Linked DNA regions of Arabidopsis thaliana. The protein of the gene in region 3 interacts with the protein of the main gene of each other region in a pairwise test. Each region holds a gene or a part of one and is shown on either strand. Other genes may lie near its edges. The genes, in order: AT1G23890, AT1G03660, AT2G01970 and UMAMIT27.

Region 1 (4,460 bases), on a different chromosome or scaffold from region 3:
CCAATTCAAGAAAGCTTTGTAATACACAACAAAGATGAACCACCTCCCGTCGAGTCCAGGAACGCCACTCCTGGAAAAATTTATCCTTTCATGTCCAAAGATGCAACAGAGAAAATGCAACAGCTGCGCCAAAGCCGTGCCTTGTACAGAAGCTTGGACGCCGAATTCCTCCAGGAGCAGCAACAAGAGAAGCATCAGCAGTATCACCATAGGCATCACTCAACAATCCCATACACTCTTTATGAGCAGAGCAGCGAGAAGACTAATGAGATTGTGTTTGGGCCAGGCCAGGAGCAAGACCAGATGAATACTCATCAGAATATCCACCACAGAGCTCACCAATTTGTGAGTTACCCATATGGATACTATTCATAGACATGAGAAGTTGCTTAATATGATAGTAGTAGTAGAGATTGGGAATTCAGGTATAGTTTTTTAAAATTTGTTGAGAAGGCACAATAGGGATTTGGGTATTTAGATCTCTCTTGTAAGAAAAGTACCAAAGATTAATCATTCTTCCTTGATATAAAGAAAAAAAGATGAGCACTTCAATAAATATTCAAAGATTTTTCAACTCAACCAAACTTTACATTTACAAAAGACACATACTCTCTGATTCATGTGCTTTTAACTGAAACCTACTCAGTAGATGAAGAACCATGAATTACAGTATCTTCTTCAGCCATCTTTGAAAATTCTTCAACATGAACCTTTATAATGTCATCTATGGTTGCATGAGGAAGAGTCTCTTCATTCCTGCAATCTTTGTCATTGTTAGGTTCTTGTTCATCATCAAAGCTTATTAGGTCAATAAGATCATCAGAGGGTTTCAGTGAAAGGGGCGGCTTTGGGTTGCCGCAACCTGGACTCTCGGGATCAGACACAGAGACTGTTTTGTCTAAAATAGCTACATTATTGGGTTGACACATGAAGAAAAGGCTAGATACCATCGAACAAATTAAACTACTTAGGGCGGAATACATGAGGGAAAGGTGAGACACGATCATCATAACTAGTCTACTTAATACTGAATAAACGGTTGATTCAGCAACTCGGTTTCTAATGTAGGAGAAGAAGGTCAGAACTTGTTCCCCCAATTTGGTTAGGAGAAGCTTCCATGTCATGATGAACGAGAGGTGGTTCACTTCTTCCTGTCTATAACGATTTGGTTTAAGAGATTTGATATGTTGATTATACACTAGTATGTAATATGAGGATAGATTAAAAAAAACTTACATGACGGATGACGTAAGGGCGAACAGCAAATCCAATGGCTACCCCGAGAATGCAGGAAAGGACAATCCCTATTGACCAAAGAGAGTATGTCCCCAAATCTGAAACAGTGAAAGAAGAATCGTTGAAGTTTCCAAAGGCATGGTTAGTCAAATCCACAAAAGATTACTTATAGAAAAGACATACTAGAATGAGAGTTTTCGAGGCAATCCTCCTCCTTAAGATTTATCTGGCGAATCATTTCATTTCCATGATCAGAAACAAGCAAACAACATCTTTGAGGAACAAAAGTTATCTCGAAATCGCTAGAGAAAGTAGCATTCTGTGCAGGTCCATCTCTGTGTCCAAATGCCTTTGAGATCCCTCCAGCAATGGTGGTTACAGAACCTACAAAGTCCAGTAAATAAAACATGCATAATCAAAATAAACTAAGTGGCTCTTTCAACAAACTAAGATTAGACAACAACAACAACTAGCATTTATACAAAAGGAATACAAGAAATGGATTAAACAAACACCTGAAGAGCTGATCTTCCGTATAGCTTTATTACTCTTATCAGCAACATAAACATTCCCTTTAGCATCCACAGCAAAACCACGGGGTTTGCTGAACCGGCTGTTACCAGCTTTACCATCTACATGACCCGAACTCCCATCCCCAGCAAACCGGTTTATCACACTATCTGCACAACCACACACACATACTCAAAGTGAGCTCAAACTTCAATTGAAAGAAAGATAAACAAAATTTTCACTTATAGTAAAGTTTAGAACTTTTATTTGCAGGTTGATCGTTTCACACACATACACACACATATTAGTATTGTGGTCCAATTTGAGATTACGGAGAAAGAAAAAATGAAGGTCAAGACTTGCAATCAAAATCAACAAGCTCTAAACATTTACTTATGCATCCATGAATTTACAACTCATATACAAACACAATTATAATGATCCGATTAATAGATGAGACAAAAGAGTGGTTTTGTGGGTGTTTACCAACGGACAAAGGAAAGGAAGTAGTGTAAAATGTACTGCCGGAAGAATCAAGGACGATCAGATTAGAAGATCCTGGTAAAGCATGAATCGTGTATGGATTCAGACCAGACTTATGGCCATCGACCACCGTTGTGACTTCGTACCCTTCTTCTAAAACTATCTTACCACTCACTGTAACAAAATCATGAGGAAAATTAAAAATTCGAATTTTGGGTTGGGAAATTCAACTGAATTAACAGATTTTTGAAAATATACCCAGATTGAAAACGACGAACAAGAAGAGAGACACGGACGAAAATCCCCAAGCCATGTCAAAATCGAGAGGAGAAAGCGACTGTTCTGTGTAACTTGTGTTGTGTTACTTATTTTTGCTGCTTAGCATCTTTAAAGGTTTTAAAAAGATACTAGGGCCTGAGCGATACTATGATGTGTTCAAGTGTAGGGGAGAATTTGTGTAACAACCAATGAAAGAGCGCGTATCATCGACCCTCTCAAATTTGACTAATAAAAACGGCCCAAGTAGGGCCCATTTATGTGTTTAACTATAAAGAAACGGCCCAGTCTATGTTTTTGTTTTGAGAGGATTGCTGGTCGAAACGTTACCGTTTAGGTGGAAATGGAAGTCATGTTTATACAACGCATTTAATTTGGCAATTATGGTTTACGAAGACTGAGAAGAAAAAAACGAGCATCGTCCATCGAGATCCAAATCCTCAGTTTCATTTTCATCTCTCTCTCTCGTATTGATCAGCTACTCGAAACTCCGGTAACGGATTTTCACAATCCCGGCGGCGAAACTCTTCTTCCCGGCTAAGTTTTCATTTTCTTCAGATTCCTCGTAAAGTTGCCGGTGGACCAAGGTCCAACTCTTGAACACCCCAAATCATGAATCCCTTTTCTTCTGGTACTCGTTTAAGGTAAATTGATTCTCTTCTTTCCTTTTTATCGTTTCTGTTTCAGGTTTCTTAGTCGTTGATCAGCTTACAAATGAAATTTGAATATAACATGATGTAATTGAGCTCGTTTTCATTTGAGGATTGAATTTTGTTGATTGGCCTGTTTCGAAGATGAATTTGGTATTGGTGTTTCTGATTCCATTTAGAATTTTGATTTTAGTCTAAGAACATGATCACACTAAGGATTTTTGGTAATCCTTTTGCTTAATTTAATTGAATATTGGATTGGTCATGTTGCTGTTGGGGTTTAATAGTGGAATCAGATCGGATTATTGTATATGGTTCTGAAGTTATAGTGGACATATGAGTATGATTCAGGGACATGATCCGTGCCATAAGAGCATGCAAAACAGCTGCGGAGGAGCGAGCTGTTGTAAGAAAGGAGTGTGCCGATATTCGAGCATTGATTAATGAAGATGACCCGCATGATCGGCACCGGAACCTTGCGAAACTCATGTTTATACACATGCTGGGTTATCCCACACACTTTGGGCAGATGGAGTGCTTGAAGCTAATTGCATCTCCTGGATTTCCAGAGAAGAGGATTGGATATCTAGGGCTAATGTTGCTTCTTGATGAGAGACAAGAAGTGTTGATGCTTGTCACAAATTCGTTAAAACAGTATCCTTACTAATTTCTAGTATTAAATCTTGATACCTTGGCCTTTGAATGGATTCTTCTTCTATGTTAAAAAATACTAGAGAACACTTGATTTTTGATTGCATTGCTGTTATGGGAATTAAGGAGAAAAATATTTAAATAGATTTGTTCCTGTTTAACCTTAAGTCACGTGCAGAGATCTTAATCACTCGAACCAGTATGTTGTAGGACTTGCTCTCTGTGCTTTAGGGAATATTTGTTCAGCAGAAATGGCCCGTGATCTTGCGCCAGAAGTAGAAAGATTAATCCAGTTTCGTGACCCTAATATCCGAAAGAAGGTGAAGTGTTTTCTAATTCATATACAGGGTCTCCTGGAGTTTAGTCGCTTTTTTTTTTTCCTTCATTGCCTTTACCATTTATGTTGTATTATATGCAGGCGGCGCTTTGCTCTACTAGAATAATAAGGAAAGTTCCAGATCTAGCAGAAAACTTCGTAAATGCTGCTGCTTCCTTGCTTAAAGAAAAGCATCATGGGGTTCTTATAACAGGAGTTCAACTTTGTTATGAATTATGCACGATTAATGATGAAGCCCTAGAGTACTTCAGAACGGTAAGTCTATAAATATTATACAGAACACTCTACTTATGCATACAGGAGCATCGACGTAATTT
Region 2 (4,977 bases), on a different chromosome or scaffold from region 3:
TAACGAAATTATATTTTCTGAATTTTATCACTGAGTAATTTCATCGAACAGTTGGCGGACGTTTGTCTATACCTGCGAGCTTGGTGATTGAAGCGGAAAGCGAAGATGGCCAAGAATACATGGCATAGCCTACTGTGTCTCCTTCAGCATCCACGTATAGCAAACCGGCGTTTTTCTTACGCAGCTCTGCATCGAAAGTTTGAGCGAGAGATTCGTGTTTAGGGAACGTTTTCTTCTCCAGCTTCACGATATCTTCCACAACTTTGGCCCAACTGGTCGACCCTCTAATCAGCTCTACCACAACTCCTTTGTCCATTGTACAAAAGATTCGATTTTGTGGAATCTCTCGTTGGTTTCGCAGCCGGTGAGAGCGAGTGAGCCAAGGAAATTGTGATTTGATTTTGATGAAGGTGCGTAGCGACGGCGGGGACGACTTTTAGAAACTATTTGAAATTGTGATTTGACCCACAAATTTAACTTTTGTGACAATTTAGTCCCCAGAAACAGAGGAACTGTATCAGAGACCACACCAAATTAAAAGACAACATATTTGATCAATCACTGTGAACGAACTTATGAAAGATTGCAGATAGAAACAATCAAGAGCTTGAATGTGTAATGGAAAATGTTCACAAACCTACATACACATCACTTATGTGCTTTGGAGCTAAAGACATGGAAGGAATGCCATGGAAGGAGCATCAATACAAGACAAACTCCAAATGCAAATGCAACAACCATAGACCAAAAAGCAAACATGATAAGTACCATGGCTCGTTTCATAGCTTGCTGTATCAGAGGAATATCACCCAGATGTTGTGGCCAAATAAGATTCATTGTAGCTATGACAGACAAGAGCACTGGAATGCTATTGCAAACCAGAAAAACTATGAACACTGCTTTCTTGACCAAACCTGTGATGCCTAAATCTGGAGCAGAACTGGTGTAGATCTTTGTAAATGTGAAACCCATAACAAATGTCACAACTGCTACAATTGTTGTACCACCATAAGCAATAAGATACGTTCTTGTAGTTTAGATATTCTGGGACGCTGTGAAGCACTCAAGAGAATTGGTTGTGTACCATTTGGTGAACTAGCAGATCCCAAAGCCATATCCAAGCTTATTATATCTCTGAAAGATTGAATTAAACGAGACATGATGATAGGACTTCACAAAAACATGTTTTAAAAAGCAGATTCAGAAATTTTATCATAAACTTACTCTCTTTTTCCAATTGAAACCCAAAAAGAATAGTTAGAACTTAAACTTGAAAATACACACTCAAAGATTACCTTAAGACGCTTTGAAATCTAGGTGATGAAGGAAGACGAAGAAAATAATGTTGAAGTTTTGAACTTGTAGCAACCAAAATATTTAATCCTAACAAGTCATTGACTTAATCAAAATAAGAAAGGAGAAGTCTGGATGTGCGTACCAATCAACGACGATGTTTAGCTTGCCGAGCAAGCAATTAAATAATTGAATTAAGGTCGTTGACTCCAACGCAAAAAGTCGATGATTCAAAGGTTGGGTTTTTGTCTTTATCCAAAACAACCTTATAGTTTTAAAAATATAATTTTAAAAACATTTTAAAATAAAATAAAAATAAGTGTTAAAAATCTAAATTATGTGTAAACTATATTGAACCTAGGACACTTCTAAGGGGTTTGGATGTTGTGTCTAATTAGTTTAACACAATATTTAAAAATTTAACATTTATCCAAAAAAAAACTTATAGTTTCAATAGTAATATAAAAATATAATTTTAAAAACATTTTTTAATAAATTAAAAACAAATGTTAAAATTTTTAATTATGTGTAAACCATATTGAATTTAGGACACCTCTTAGGGTTTTAGATGTTGTGTCTAATTAGTTTACATAACATTTAAAAATTTAATATTTATCCAAAAAACCCTTATAATTTTAATAGTTATATAAAAATATAATTTTAAAAACTTTTTATAATAAAATGATGATAAGTATTAAAAATTTAAATTAAGTGTAAACCATATTGAACCTAGGACACCTCTTAGGGGTTTGGATGTTATGTCCAATTAGTTTACACAAAATTCAAAAATTTAACACTTATCCAAAAAACCTTTATAGTTTTAATAGTTATATAAAAATATAAGTTTAAAAATATTTTTTAATAGAAGAGAAACAATTGTTAAAAATTTAAATATGTGTAAACGAAAACAGTTTGTTAAATAAAATTAAAAACTACTGTTGAAAATACTTTTATTTTTTTGTTGAAAACAAAAACATTTTGTAATTTATTATTTTTAAAAAATGAACGAATAATAGAAGAAATAACTTACATGGAATCGTGTTAAAAAAAAAAAAATAATAATAATAATAATAATAATAACTTACATGGAATAAGTGTTGAATTGTTGATGAACAGTGTTTGTCCACAAATCTAGTAGGCGATAACTTTCAATAGGCTGAAATTGAATAAAACGAAGAAAGGAGTGAATATTTGGTTTAGGGCTAAATTTAGAGACAGTAGACAAAAAAAAAAAAAGAGAAAAGCATAGAGGATTTTGGAAATTACTTACCGTTACAGGTCAAGAAAGAGAGGACTATGACTTTATGAGATTGGTGTTACTGCATCATCCCTAGCCCTAATGGAATTGGACAAGGAAGAACGGTGATTGTAAACGACGATTGGGCCTTGTTCTCTCCGGCGATGACTGGAATCAAACGCCGACGACGTTTATTGTTCTAAATCTTCTTAAACTTCAAACCATCAAAGATAAACATAATCCAAAACAAACCCTATTAAAGATTAAACAGAACAACGAAACTCACAATTAAAAGCAAAAGAGATTCACACCAAAATAGTTTCAGATAACACGTACCGACTGAGTCAAAATCCAATCGATCCATAGATCCTCCGAAGAAAAATAGAAATGAAAGATGGTTTCTTTTGTTTTCGTTTTGCAGAAGAAGAAGAAGAAGAAGATGAATGAAGAATTAGTTATTTTACAAGGAAGAAGAGTATTTATAAGCAAACGTTGTTCAATAGAAAAAAGGAAATTTCTATTGTTTCCTTTTTGTTTTCGACTAGGTTAAGAAAAAGGAAATTTTAATTAGGCTGCAAAAAAAGAAAAGGAAATTTCCTCACAACGGTCATATTTGTATCTTACTGCGTAACAACAATTTATCAAGACAAATTATTTGAGGTTTCTTATTTTTGAAACAGAGAATTTGGCCTTGAAAGCGAGAGGAGCAAAGTCGGGATCATGCATGTGAGCTCTTTGCAACAGCCAACGGTCATATTTGTCTCTGTACCAATTTTTGTGGTTACTTAGTAAAACCACAATTACAAACTCGTGAGATACAAAAACTGTTAAAAACAAACAGAACACTAACCATCCATCATCCATGATACAAAACAGAGCAGAATAGAACAGAACAGAGCATTCTTTAACCATCCATGTTGTTGCTGCCTTCGCTAACAACCAAAAGCATCAAGAAATAAGGAAAGTAGAAGATATGTCTGAGAAAGCCATGTCTTGTAGACGAGAAAGCGTAAGGAATGATAAGTAGCATCAGGAATACCAAGAAGGCTGAATCTATGGCTAATACAAGATGGGAAAGCCATGGGAGATCGCTCACCACAAGAGTAAGTCCAGCCACAGATGCCATCATCATTGATACAACAGCTGTTAACAGAAGTGGTAAAGCTAGTCGAAAAGCTTTCTTTGTCAGAAGTGCATCACCCAGTTGTGCCCATATTAGAGCCATTACAGTTACCACAGAAGTGCACATTGCAATGTTGTTCAACAACAGAAATACCTTAAAATTCAACTTATTGACCAATGCAGCCATGCCTAAATGTGGAGCAGAACTCATGTAACCACCGGGTAATGTCAAACCTGCAGCGAAGGTCACGGTTGCTACGAGTGTTGCAGTCACCATAAGAGTATTGACACTATCCTTGTATCTTTCTGGACTTTGTTTGCTACTCTGTGACACAGTCAAGGGAATCAGGTTTGGGCCATGTGGTGCTCCAGCAGATACCAAAGCCATCCAAATCAATCTCTGTAAACCAATAAAAAAAGTTACATGAGACTTTATCATTAACTACATGAATCTTCAAATTTGACATACCTTGTAAAGTACGTAAGCGTTATTGTCCTTCATCGTCTCAGCAATATCTAAAGCTGTAAAGCCTTCATTGTTGAGTGCTCTGAGGTTAATCCCATCGTTCCATGTAAGCATATTCACAACTATCGGGTATCTGTGTTTAGTGGCTAGGTGTAACGGTGTATTCCCATTGATATCTTGTTCATTCATCATTCTTTTCCCTTCATCAAGTTTTAAAAGATACTTGACAACTTTCGACTTACCAGCTATGGCAGCAACGTGAAAGATATTCTGACATTGATTGTTAAGTAGCTCTCTTGAGTCAGGACAGTGTTTAAGAAACTCCTTAATGATTCTGACATGTCCTTCCTTTGCCGCCATATGAATAGGAGTGAAGCCATCATCATCAGCGACATAACAAAGGCTTGAAGCTGCTTTGTCAAACTCTGCTAGTATATAGCGAATTCCCTCATAACATCCCATTGATGCTCCATAGGAAAGACATGTCCTTCCTTCTTCGTTGCGTAATTCAATAAGTCCTGGATCTTGTCTAAGAACAATACCTAGGATATCTGTCAAAGCAATGACCAAGAAATAATTAAAACATATAAAGAACACTTGGCGTACAAGGTTGAACAAACATAGAAACAAACCTCTTCTATTGGCCTTCATTGCTGCATGTATAACAGATTTTCCACTGAACATCGAAGCTAGTATAGATGGGGAAGATGAAGATTCAAGCATTTTAAGCACGAGCTCGTGATATCCAGCTTCTACAGCCATGTATAATGGAGATGCTTCATCATTGTTCTTATCAAATGATACATCATGCTTCACACTTACTAGGCAGAAAGCCACCTCTACATGTTTTCCTTTCAAC
Region 3 (5,402 bases):
ATCCAATTAAGATTTTGAAAAATTAGTTTATTTAAAGTACATATATTAATTTGTTTTAAATATTTGAAGCCGTGATATGCAAGATTTAATACCACTAAATCCTAATAAGATATGACGAAAGAGAAAATCTTTTCTTGATATATTTTTAAAAAAGTCATAATCTTTTGTTCTTGTTGTTTGTTGTGTTAGACTGGATGCTGCAATCGGCCAGGGAATTGCAAACTAGAGACGGTCAATGCAACATTGTGGGTTACAAGAAATCGTGAAGGACCACCTTTGGAAACGGCAATGATCTATGATCGTTACGGTGGCAATGCAGACATAAAGGATTATTACGATATGTGGAGACACGAGTTAAGTGTGTTGTACTATGATTGTATGACTTGTCAGGTTAGGATCATTAAGTCTCCAAGGCTGCGCAAATGGTGGCAGTTCGGTGTTTTCTTATCTTCCCTCACCTCTTTGTTTAGATAGATCACAAATTCATAGATGATTTTGATCGAATAGATTAGCGATTTGGTTCAAGAGAGTTGTTATTTTTTCGTCTTTAGAATATATATAGATCAATAAAAAAAAGGTTACAAAGTTATCTTAATTAATTACCAAAAAAAGAAGATAACTCTCTAAAGTAGTAGAGAAGAGAAAGACTTCACCTAAACAAACATAGTTTCGTCTATAAATCATATCACAGAAAACAAACTGCCACAAAACATTTTAACAAAAAGGAAAAAAAATGTGACCACAGAGCGATTTGGTATTCAGTTTCTGGCTTCGAAGAAGTCTTCTTCTTTATCTACCTAAGAACAGATTATCATCTTCTTTGTTCTACCAAAAATCGTAAGGGGGAGGGTGATTGGCAGCAACAGTTTTACTCGCATTTAATCGACCGGTAAATGTGGCGGACGAAGAGGAGAGCAGCGCGGAAGCCAACGGTTCCAAGCATGAGGAAGAAACCGTAACAAATGCAAGCCATGTACCCGAAGAAGAAGGATGTTTGCATGAAACCAGACATGTCTGATCTTGCGTAGTAGTAGTATAAGCAGTACGCATATATAAACAGACCAGTCGATCCACCACATAGGAATGATCTGCAACAAAGAATATTAATAACTATAACAATGTAATTTTATTATCACCAATCCAATTCAAATTCGAATTTAAAATCTACGGAAGGATTTAGTAGATGTGCCTAATCAAGCCAAACTGAAACCCTACGTAAGTAATCAGTTTGAAACTGATACTAAAACGAAACACAAACCATAGCAATTCTAAGCTATTTGTATTTGGTATTATCATTTGGTTTTCTATATTCCATATACCAAAAACCGAATTAAAAAACCAGCTTGGGTGGAAAAATTTACCTCCACCACCATTCATGATCTTCAGCAGCGAGTTGGAAGTAAGTAAGGGCAACTGTTATAAAAGCAGTGACGATCAACAGGATGATGAAGACGATGAAGAGGATGCTGTAAATGGTATAGATACGATGGCCCCAAACACTGGCAAAGATGTAATATAGCTCGATGTAGATGGCACTGAAAGGAAGAAATCCAGCCATGGCCATCTGCGGTACAGCACTCCTGTACCATGGGAGTGGCGGGATCTCCCGAGGATACTTAGTGGTGCGGACTGGAGCTTGGAACTCAGCTTTGCTGTTTTTACCGGCAATACCACCCAACACAAGTAAAGGCGAAGTGACTAGTGTCCATATGAGGACGATCACTATGATGGTTCCAAAGGGAAGAGCGGCAGTTGCACTGTATGCGATTGCAACGGTGTTTAGGAAGCAGAAGGTGAGAAATAGTGGGCCACAGAAGAGACCTCCAGTTAGCAGCAAATTTCTCACCTGAAGAGGAAGAACGGTGAGAAATGAAAAGCTTATCACTTTAAGTTGAAAAGAGTAAAGGGAAAGGGTTTACATACCCAATTCTTTCCTTCGAGTTGACAGTAGAAAGAGGAGGCAGTGTATCCGGCAATTCCAGATGTGAGAGCATAGATAACGACCAAAGCAGTGAAGAGTGCTCCACGGTTGTATGGATAGAACACTCCAACAAGTGAAAGCATGAAAATGAAGATGGTCCTGATGACATATGAGGTATATTACAGTTAGTAATGGCAAAGAATAACTAAAGATAAACGAAGGAGGCTGAAAAGAGACTTACAGAGTGAACAACTGGGTACCGCTACCAAGAGATGCAGCAAAGAGAGATTTGTTCTTTGGGAACCGGAAGACATCTCCATGAATGTATTTCCATCCGGTTTCCTCTTGATCATCAGCAGCTTCCTCATCTTGAGCATACCTTTGAAAGTTAGGGGAAAAGTTAATGGTTGGAAACAAAAGTGTGCATCGGTGAGTCAAGCACAAAGAGTTAGCATTCAAAACTTACTTCATGAAATCATTCTTGAGGACCCGCATCAGGATGGTTGCAAGGAAACCAGTCAAAAGAAGGACAGTGACGCAGGAGTTAATAATGGAGAACCAGTGGATTTCCAAGTGATGTGGAAGAGAAGAAGACATAGCATACTTATCCATTCTTTTCTCAAAAGAAGTCTCAGTTTCCTTCCACTTCACAGTGTACATAAACTCAGCATCGACTTCCTTATCCTCAGTAAGATCCACAAGCGAATGAGGATCCATTCTAGCATTGATTTCAATCACCCGATCCTTATTGTACAAAATCTCAAACTGGATGTGTTTGTAGAGAAAATATTTAAACTCGCTAGGATCAGATTTGCTCTCTTTGTCCACCTTCCCAATGAATCCCCAAATAGGCAAATCATCATAATACATCTGAAAGTAATAATCTTTTTCAACAGCTCTTCGAAAGTGTTCAACTTCTTCTCTACTAAGCTTCTTTTTACAGTACACCTCTGAGTCTTTCTCATCTCTAAAGTTAAGCTTGTATGGAGCACTAACAAGCCTATCCCCATTCAAAACCTCACCAAGAGCTTCCTTCTTATCTTTCACACCCTCTACACAAACCAAAACAAATGCATATTGACACCAAAATACACAAATCCGAAAAAAGTGAAAAACCACACATAACAGAGACAACATTGAGCGTGCTCGTACCTGGAATACAAAAGGGGAGATCGAAATAGCGATACGTCTCACTGCAACAATCATCAAACACAAGTAAAAATCAGTCATATAACAATGCAATCGAAGATCTATCACATTTTAAGAACACGAATCGAATTTTTTCAAGGTCAGATACAAAAATTCAATACCAACGCAAGCTTCTACAGAAATTTGCAACGATCAATTTATCACTCATCAAAGAGAATCACAGATCTAAGCTACCGACAAAGGAACTGAGATTAGAGAATTGGATTTACCTGGGATTGTGAAAGGGGCCGACCTTGTTGGCGTAGAGAGGAACGGAGTCACCGTCCTTGTAACGGTGGTCGGAGGCATCGGATCTGACAGTACCGGCGCCGGAGAAGATGAGAGCTCCGATAAAGAGGAGCAGCGTCGTTGGTAATCTCATGATGATGTGTGTTAATGTGAGAGGAAGAAGAAAATCGTGAGATCTGAGTTTGCTTTATATTTTTGAGAGCAACGCTTATGGCAAAAGGACGATTATATTACTTTTATTTATTTTATCTCTCTTTTTAACGAATTTTCTTCTACTAAATGCTTAAGAAAAAATATTGCGAATAAAAAGCATTATGTAAGAAAATAAAATCTGCGACATTTTAATATTTTTTTTAGAAATTGAAATGATTATTTTTATATATTTTATTTTTGGTTGTTTTCTTAAATCTTCTAAACAAAATTCGTATTAATTCACAAAATTTTAAATTATTTAATACGTTTCGTAAGAAACTTGTGAATGGCAGAGGCAAGTGATATAAACTGAAGCAAATAAAACTTTCTATAATCGATATTTTTTGTTACAATTGTCGTTTTTTTTTTAATAAGTAGCAATTTTCTATTGGTAGAGTGATTCTCTCGTTCTTGTGCTTTCTACTATTTATAGGAGTTTTATTGCATTCCATGTGACTATAACAATCAGTAATGTTCTTTTTACTCTTTAACAAAATCATGATGATGAAGATACAAATAAAAAGGTGGTCAAAAGAAAAAAGATCAATAGTGCCTCGTTTTTTTTTTTCACAATAGTATCTCGTTTATGAAATTGATTAAAGCAAAGCAAGTAAAAAGTATTATCAATTGGAATATAAACCAAATTTTTTGTACATAAAATGAATGATGTAGTAATTTATATACCTGATTATCTTAACTAAACTCAATTTTTTGCAACCAAACCAGATAAATAAGAACACTATAAAATTAAGATGTTAATTACACAGACAATAATTTTATTTATTTATAAAGTTTATTTTTGTAACAGCTCTGATACTTATTGATTTTGCACCTTCTTTGATGGTGGTGGCGAATCATACACTCATCAGCGACCATGATATGTAATCCATCAACGAGTTCTCTCTGAATCTTCTCGCCTGGAACCAGTTTTCCAGAGCATAAACATAAGCCTTAGAACAAAACAAACATCTACTATCCCCTGAACTACTAATGATAGAGTAATCAATGTAAACTCTTTTCCTATTGTAGAATTTACCATTAGACAAATTATTATGCATGTTGTTAGCATCTCTACTCTTGAAAAATCTTCGTAAGCTGATTGGAAAATCAAAGAATAACAAACTAACTAACTAACAATCACTACTCTATAAGCAAATCTTGAATACCAATAGAGATTCTTTATGTTGGATTCTATCTTTGAGCATTTCATTAGGATCGACGGTTGGTCGATTAATCAATACTAACCCAAACAGTCTTTTAACATGCACACTTGATACCTTGTAGGTGCTTCTGGGTAGCATGAAAATGATAATTGGTGTTATTCTGATATGCGAAATTGAAAATGTTGTTGTGCATCAGCTAAGCATAATTGAAAGTTTAAAAAATATTATAAATTTAACGTGAAGAATTGAAAGGTATCAGATTAATGTTTTGGATCAGCCGAATAGAGTCAGGCTAATCCAAATTCTCAAATATTTTCGAAACCTTAAACACATCAAACTCCACGAAGTAAACACACTCACACACATATCAAAATCCACATTATAAATGTATTTTTGGTAGGCTAGTCGTCTAATTCTAAAATAGCCAATTTACATTTGCAATTGTTTATTCAAAAAAGTACAACAGTAAGAGGTCTTATCAATTAAATCATAAGAAAAATATGTCCCAAAATGTCAAAAAACCAACTACGAATATTTCTTTTCCTTTTAAGGCCAAACCAGGTTTTGGAATACTTATTACAAATAAACTCAATTTCAATAAATTCTTGTACACAAATTAAGCACTAATTTCATTGTGAAGATACCATAGTCACATTCACATCTATATGACATCAATCTATAAAATCCAA
Region 4 (4,596 bases), on a different chromosome or scaffold from region 3:
TCATTCAATAATTCTCCATTTTATTGTTCCCAATTTGGATTCGATCCCTTTTACGCTCTGTCCTTTCACTGGATCCATGCAGTACCTCGTTTTTGTTATTTATAATGCACATAATAATTGTTATACATTTCAATATAGAAGTTAATGAAAAAAATTATACTGTATTAGTATATAGTTGTTTCTCCCCAATATGGGTATCGAAATTTTGCCTTCCTTTATTTTGTCCGTCGAACTTTGTAGGGACAAAAAGCAGATGCTATTCTAGATTAAGGTAAGGCTTAGAAAAAATGGACGGGGCATTTTCACTCCAGTAGTGCATAATATATATACAGTAGTACTAATTACAATTGGTCTTTATTTTTTCTAGACCTTAAATTCTTACTGTTTTAGCAACAGGCTACAAACTCAAAACGCAACACATTTAAAATCAGCACGAAAATAATCCAAGAAACAGAGCTTTTGAAACTAAAAACAATATTACGAGGCTCTTTTAACAGATCTGTTGTGAAATGTTTTGATATATCATATATGCTTTATATTGGTTAGTTTTGAATATTATAACAAATCTGTTTTGTTATCTCTTTACGAAATTATAAATCTGCAAACGAAAAGTATGAATTATACAAACTGCTTGCACAATTTGAATCTGAATATTTATGACTGGTCTTTAACGTGAGTGTGCTTGCACAATTTAAATCTAAATATTTATGACTGGTCTTTACGGTAAATGTATTCAGTAGTAAATACTAATTTACGACAATGAAGCCATATGAATCTTTCTATGACAACAATATTATTTGATTAAATGGGCGACCTAGACTCGTTGATCTTCGTTGTTCATCCGAGAAGACAATGTAGTTATGTCTGCTTCCGTTTCTTTGTTCTTACCCCACAAGAACACGTAGAGACCTATTATTGTCCCTACTGATCCAATCACACTGTATAGCAAAAGTTACAAAATAAATTGTAATTAGTAATACGAGCATGAACCTAATACATTAACATCTATAAAGCTATACAAAAAATTTCATAGAGATGATCGAAGAGAGCACCTTCCGAGGTATAAAGGAGTGTGTAAGATAAGGAAATCGAATAGAGTAGCCGATATGAGAGAAACTGGCATAATTGCTGATGCGAAAACAGCTCCTAATCTGTTTATTCCCCATGTCGCTGCTACAGTCGACATTGCTTGTCCTATCACTCCCTATAATACGTGTATAGTAATAAGGTAATATTAGGTAAACCCCAAAATTTATTTAATTATTTACATATATACTACATTATAATTTATAAAAATGTTAAGATTTCTGATAATATAGTATTATAACTTACAGCATATATTATGACACCAATCACAAATCCATCGTCGATGATCCAATGTTTAAGGTCTCTACTCTTGTAAAGACTCAATAGAGCACATTGAAAAGCTGCGAAAATTGACATGAGACAAGTGCTTGAGAATTTGCAAGGATACTTGATGCTTAAAGTCCCTTGAAACAATATCCATAGAGATAGCAACACGATTCCTATGACTAAGTAGAGACATCCAAGAAGCCAATTCTTGGTGTTGTGATCGCTGTTGTTGTGAGGAAGAGCCTCTAGGTGAGAGTGAGAGTTTGATATATGAGGGCCTTTGTAAAATGTTAAGAACAAAGCTCCACTTATACATATTAGAGTTCCCATCACTTTTATCATTCCTGCTTGGGTCTTTAGATCTTTTATCTTCTCAGTTCTGAAAAGTAATATAACCTTTTAGATGATAAATTTGAGATAATTTATGAGTAAGGTTCTTTTGAGTATTTCTATATATAGAAGTATAATATGCTTGATGAAAAAACAAAAGAAATTATATGCACTGTATACATAACAAATACGAATAAATCCTGCATGAACCCATTGCATAGTAATAGTAAATACAGTACTTATTTTAATGATAAAGAAGTTAGATGGTTCCATAATTACCTCAAAATAAGAGCGAAAGCAAAGGTGATTGCAGGCATCAAGCTTACCAAAGCACACGCAACAGTTGCTGACGTGTAGGACAGACCAAGCAAATAGAAAAATTGCATCAAACTCGCCCTGCAAATTTAAACCCAAAACTAAGCTAAGATTAAAAACAATTTAGCTAGCTTATGAAGATTTTATGCTCACTTGAAAGAAAATCTTTCTTCTGTGGAAACAATCAATGTATAATGGAAAAGGAAAATGGAAAATGGACGACAAAAGAACATAAGAAATTGTGAGAAGACAAACCCGAGCAAACCACTGATGAAATGATCGACCATTAGCCTAAACGTTATTTTCGGTATTATTTTCCTGTTAACAATAAGACATAAACTTTAGGGGAAAGAAAATATCAATCTACTTCATATATTAGTAACATGTAGTGGTGTTTATTTACATGTTATAATAGAGCATTCTGACAATCTTCAATTGTAGTAAATGTTGTTAATTATGTAAATATGAAAAAACTATTTTGATATAATCAAATTTTTGAAAATTTTGCATAAGAAAAATATATAACTCAACTATTTTCATCAAAATATCAATAAACCTTTCCAAAAAATAGGCGATAGGAACCAGAATGAAAGAGGAAATAGCCATTCGATAAGCACCAATGATCATATGGTTCACACCAACATCAAGAGCTTTCTTCACAAGTGCATTCACCGAACCCATCGCTACTTGTGATGTCACCATAACTATCATCGGTGGCCATTTTGAGACTACTTTCACTCCTCGCATATCCTCACCCATCTCTCCCTCGTTCTCTCTTTCTTGAATTCTATGTGAGTTTGTGTGTTAGAAAGAGTTAAGACCCAAAGTACTTTGAGTTTGGCAACCACCCTTCCCATATTTATAACTTATAAGAAAGAGTACTGTGTTTGGGTTCTGTCATTTTAATAGAAAAAACCCCTGAATTATTGCTCTATTATATTAACTTAGTGGTCTTTCTATCAAAAATAAATAAATAAAAAACTTAGTGCTGTCAAGTTCAATTTAAATAATATTAGAATCTTGTTCCACATTATGTAAAATTATAAATTACAAAATAGTTCAAATATTTGAACAAGTTGAATGTTCCTACACACAACTAGCTTAATTTTATTTACTTTTCTGGTCTAAAAAAACTTTCTTTTTATATAGGATAAGCGTTTGTGAAGAACAAAGCACTACTACAAACCCGAGCATATTATTAACTAATGAAAGAACAAAATTAGTAGGATACTTAAGTTTAAGAAGTCGTCACAAATATAACTGCTCATGCGGTAACAATCTTTTTTTTTTCCGGTCAATATGTGTATATTTACTGTTATATTTATTTATTTATTATATAGTAGAAATGAGAACCGATACATTGGCTTTATCACACGTTTCATGAGGCGCCGATGAATTAGCTTTTCCATTTTATACGTTATATGAGTAAATGAGAAACCGATACATTGGCTTTATCATGCGTGTTATCTGCCGCGCACCTTATTAATTAGCAAAATGATTTTCATAAAAGAGAGTCGGAGAGATGATGTAACTGAGTTTAGTGAGAAAAAATAAGTCATGCAAACCCGAGCTAGTTGGTATATCTAAATCTATACTTCGTGTAATCTAATGACACTTAAACATTTGTAATCTAATGACACTTAAACACTTGCATGCCCGTCTCCGTCTGGTCGTATAGGTTCAAGTTTGGGTTCTTTACTTTCAATTGTAATTGGACTGACTCAAGGATTTGTTGAATTTGGTGCAAAATAGGAAAAAACACGAACTTTTCAACGAGATAAACTAATCATATGTAGTAAATAAGTACTATATGAGATTTTGCAACTCTCATTCAATAACTTTTTGCGTGCAAATTTGTTTTGTGCCCATTTTGAATTATATTCGATCCATTAATTATTCTCTTTTGTCTTTTCATTGGATCCATCTTGTTTTGCACTATCTCGTTTTTGTTAATTATAAATGCGTATAATTAGCTCTATATTTGAACTTTTAAAGTTGATGAAAAAATTATATTATCCCCATTTGGGTATATCGAACTCTTTCATTCCTTTAGTTTGTCCATATAACTTTGTAGGGACAAAAAGCAGATGCTATTTTTAGATTCAGTAAGTTATCTAGAAAAGGCTTAGAACATAATGGACGGGGCATTTTCTCTCCAGTAGTGCAGACATATATATTCCTTCTACTAATTAGATCAATTCACCAAATATAATAACAATTGAGTTAGTGGTTCTAATGATGTTAAATTTTTTTTATAAAAAAGTTGTCACAAAAGAAAAGTTAGTGGTTTTGACTTAGTTCTAGAATAAATTTACAAGATTGGTATATAATATATTCTATCTTTTCATATTAAATCATATCTAAAGTTTTTCACATAAATTAAGAAATAATAAAAAAAATATTTTGTTTATTTTATATATATAAATTGTTAAAATAAAACTAATTCAACTAGTAAAAAACATATTCTATTATATAAATGGTTACAATCAAATATATTTAAACTTTTGAAAACATCACTTGAAATAAGATAAACAAAATTCTCTGGATCATCATTTAAAACAAAACAGAGAAAGTATTCGATGAAATTAAAACAGTATA

The links.
Region 1: the proteins of AT2G01970 (region 3) and AT1G23890 interact in a protein complementation assay, tested with the Arabidopsis thaliana proteins (one large-scale study listed by BioGRID).
Region 2: the proteins of AT2G01970 (region 3) and AT1G03660 interact in a protein complementation assay, tested with the Arabidopsis thaliana proteins (one large-scale study listed by BioGRID).
Region 4: the proteins of AT2G01970 (region 3) and UMAMIT27 interact in a protein complementation assay, tested with the Arabidopsis thaliana proteins (one large-scale study listed by BioGRID).

The regions. Positions count from the first base shown.
Region 1 is NC_003070.9:8,438,262-8,442,721, forward strand, and holds AT1G23890 (NHL domain-containing protein), read right to left. Parts: upstream 2,606-4,460; 5' UTR 2,543-2,605; coding exon 2,488-2,542; intron 2,404-2,487; coding exon 2,233-2,403; intron 1,917-2,232; coding exon 1,752-1,916; intron 1,621-1,751; coding exon 1,420-1,620; intron 1,335-1,419; coding exon 1,237-1,334; intron 1,156-1,236; coding exon of another isoform or gene 1,152-1,155; coding exon 639-1,151; downstream 1-638. Other genes in the region: AT1G23880 (NHL domain-containing protein), read left to right, coding at 1-375; GAMMA-ADAPTIN 1 (gamma-adaptin 1), read left to right, coding at 3,118-3,149, 3,507-3,809, 3,985-4,126, 4,225-4,398.
Region 2 is NC_003070.9:910,788-915,764, forward strand, and holds AT1G03660 (Ankyrin-repeat containing protein), read right to left. Parts: upstream 3,022-4,977; 5' UTR 2,867-3,021; intron 2,809-2,866; exon of another isoform or gene 2,745-2,808; 5' UTR 2,564-2,744; intron 2,450-2,563; 5' UTR 2,379-2,449; intron 1,479-2,378; exon of another isoform or gene 1,296-1,478; intron 1,135-1,295; 5' UTR 973-1,134; coding exon 649-972; 3' UTR 523-648; downstream 1-522. Other genes in the region: AT1G03650 (Acyl-CoA N-acyltransferases (NAT) superfamily protein), read right to left, coding at 73-316; AT1G03670 (ankyrin repeat family protein), read right to left, coding at 3,435-4,052, 4,122-4,669, 4,751-4,977.
Region 3 is NC_003071.7:451,329-456,730, forward strand, and holds AT2G01970 (Endomembrane protein 70 protein family), read right to left. Parts: upstream 3,632-5,402; 5' UTR 3,492-3,631; coding exon 3,340-3,491; intron 3,115-3,339; coding exon 3,074-3,114; intron 2,974-3,073; coding exon 2,388-2,973; intron 2,301-2,387; coding exon 2,163-2,300; intron 2,081-2,162; coding exon 1,924-2,080; intron 1,847-1,923; coding exon 1,362-1,846; intron 1,089-1,361; coding exon 869-1,088; 3' UTR 530-868; downstream 1-529. Other genes in the region: TET14 (tetraspanin14), read left to right, coding at 190-474.
Region 4 is NC_003070.9:3,851,478-3,856,073, reverse strand, and holds UMAMIT27 (nodulin MtN21 /EamA-like transporter family protein), read right to left. Parts: upstream 2,891-4,596; 5' UTR 2,758-2,890; coding exon 2,555-2,757; intron 2,317-2,554; coding exon 2,254-2,316; exon of another isoform or gene 2,080-2,253; coding exon 1,963-2,079; intron 1,733-1,962; coding exon 1,333-1,732; intron 1,205-1,332; coding exon 1,053-1,204; coding exon of another isoform or gene 1,028-1,052; exon of another isoform or gene 939-1,027; coding exon 815-938; 3' UTR 567-814; downstream 1-566.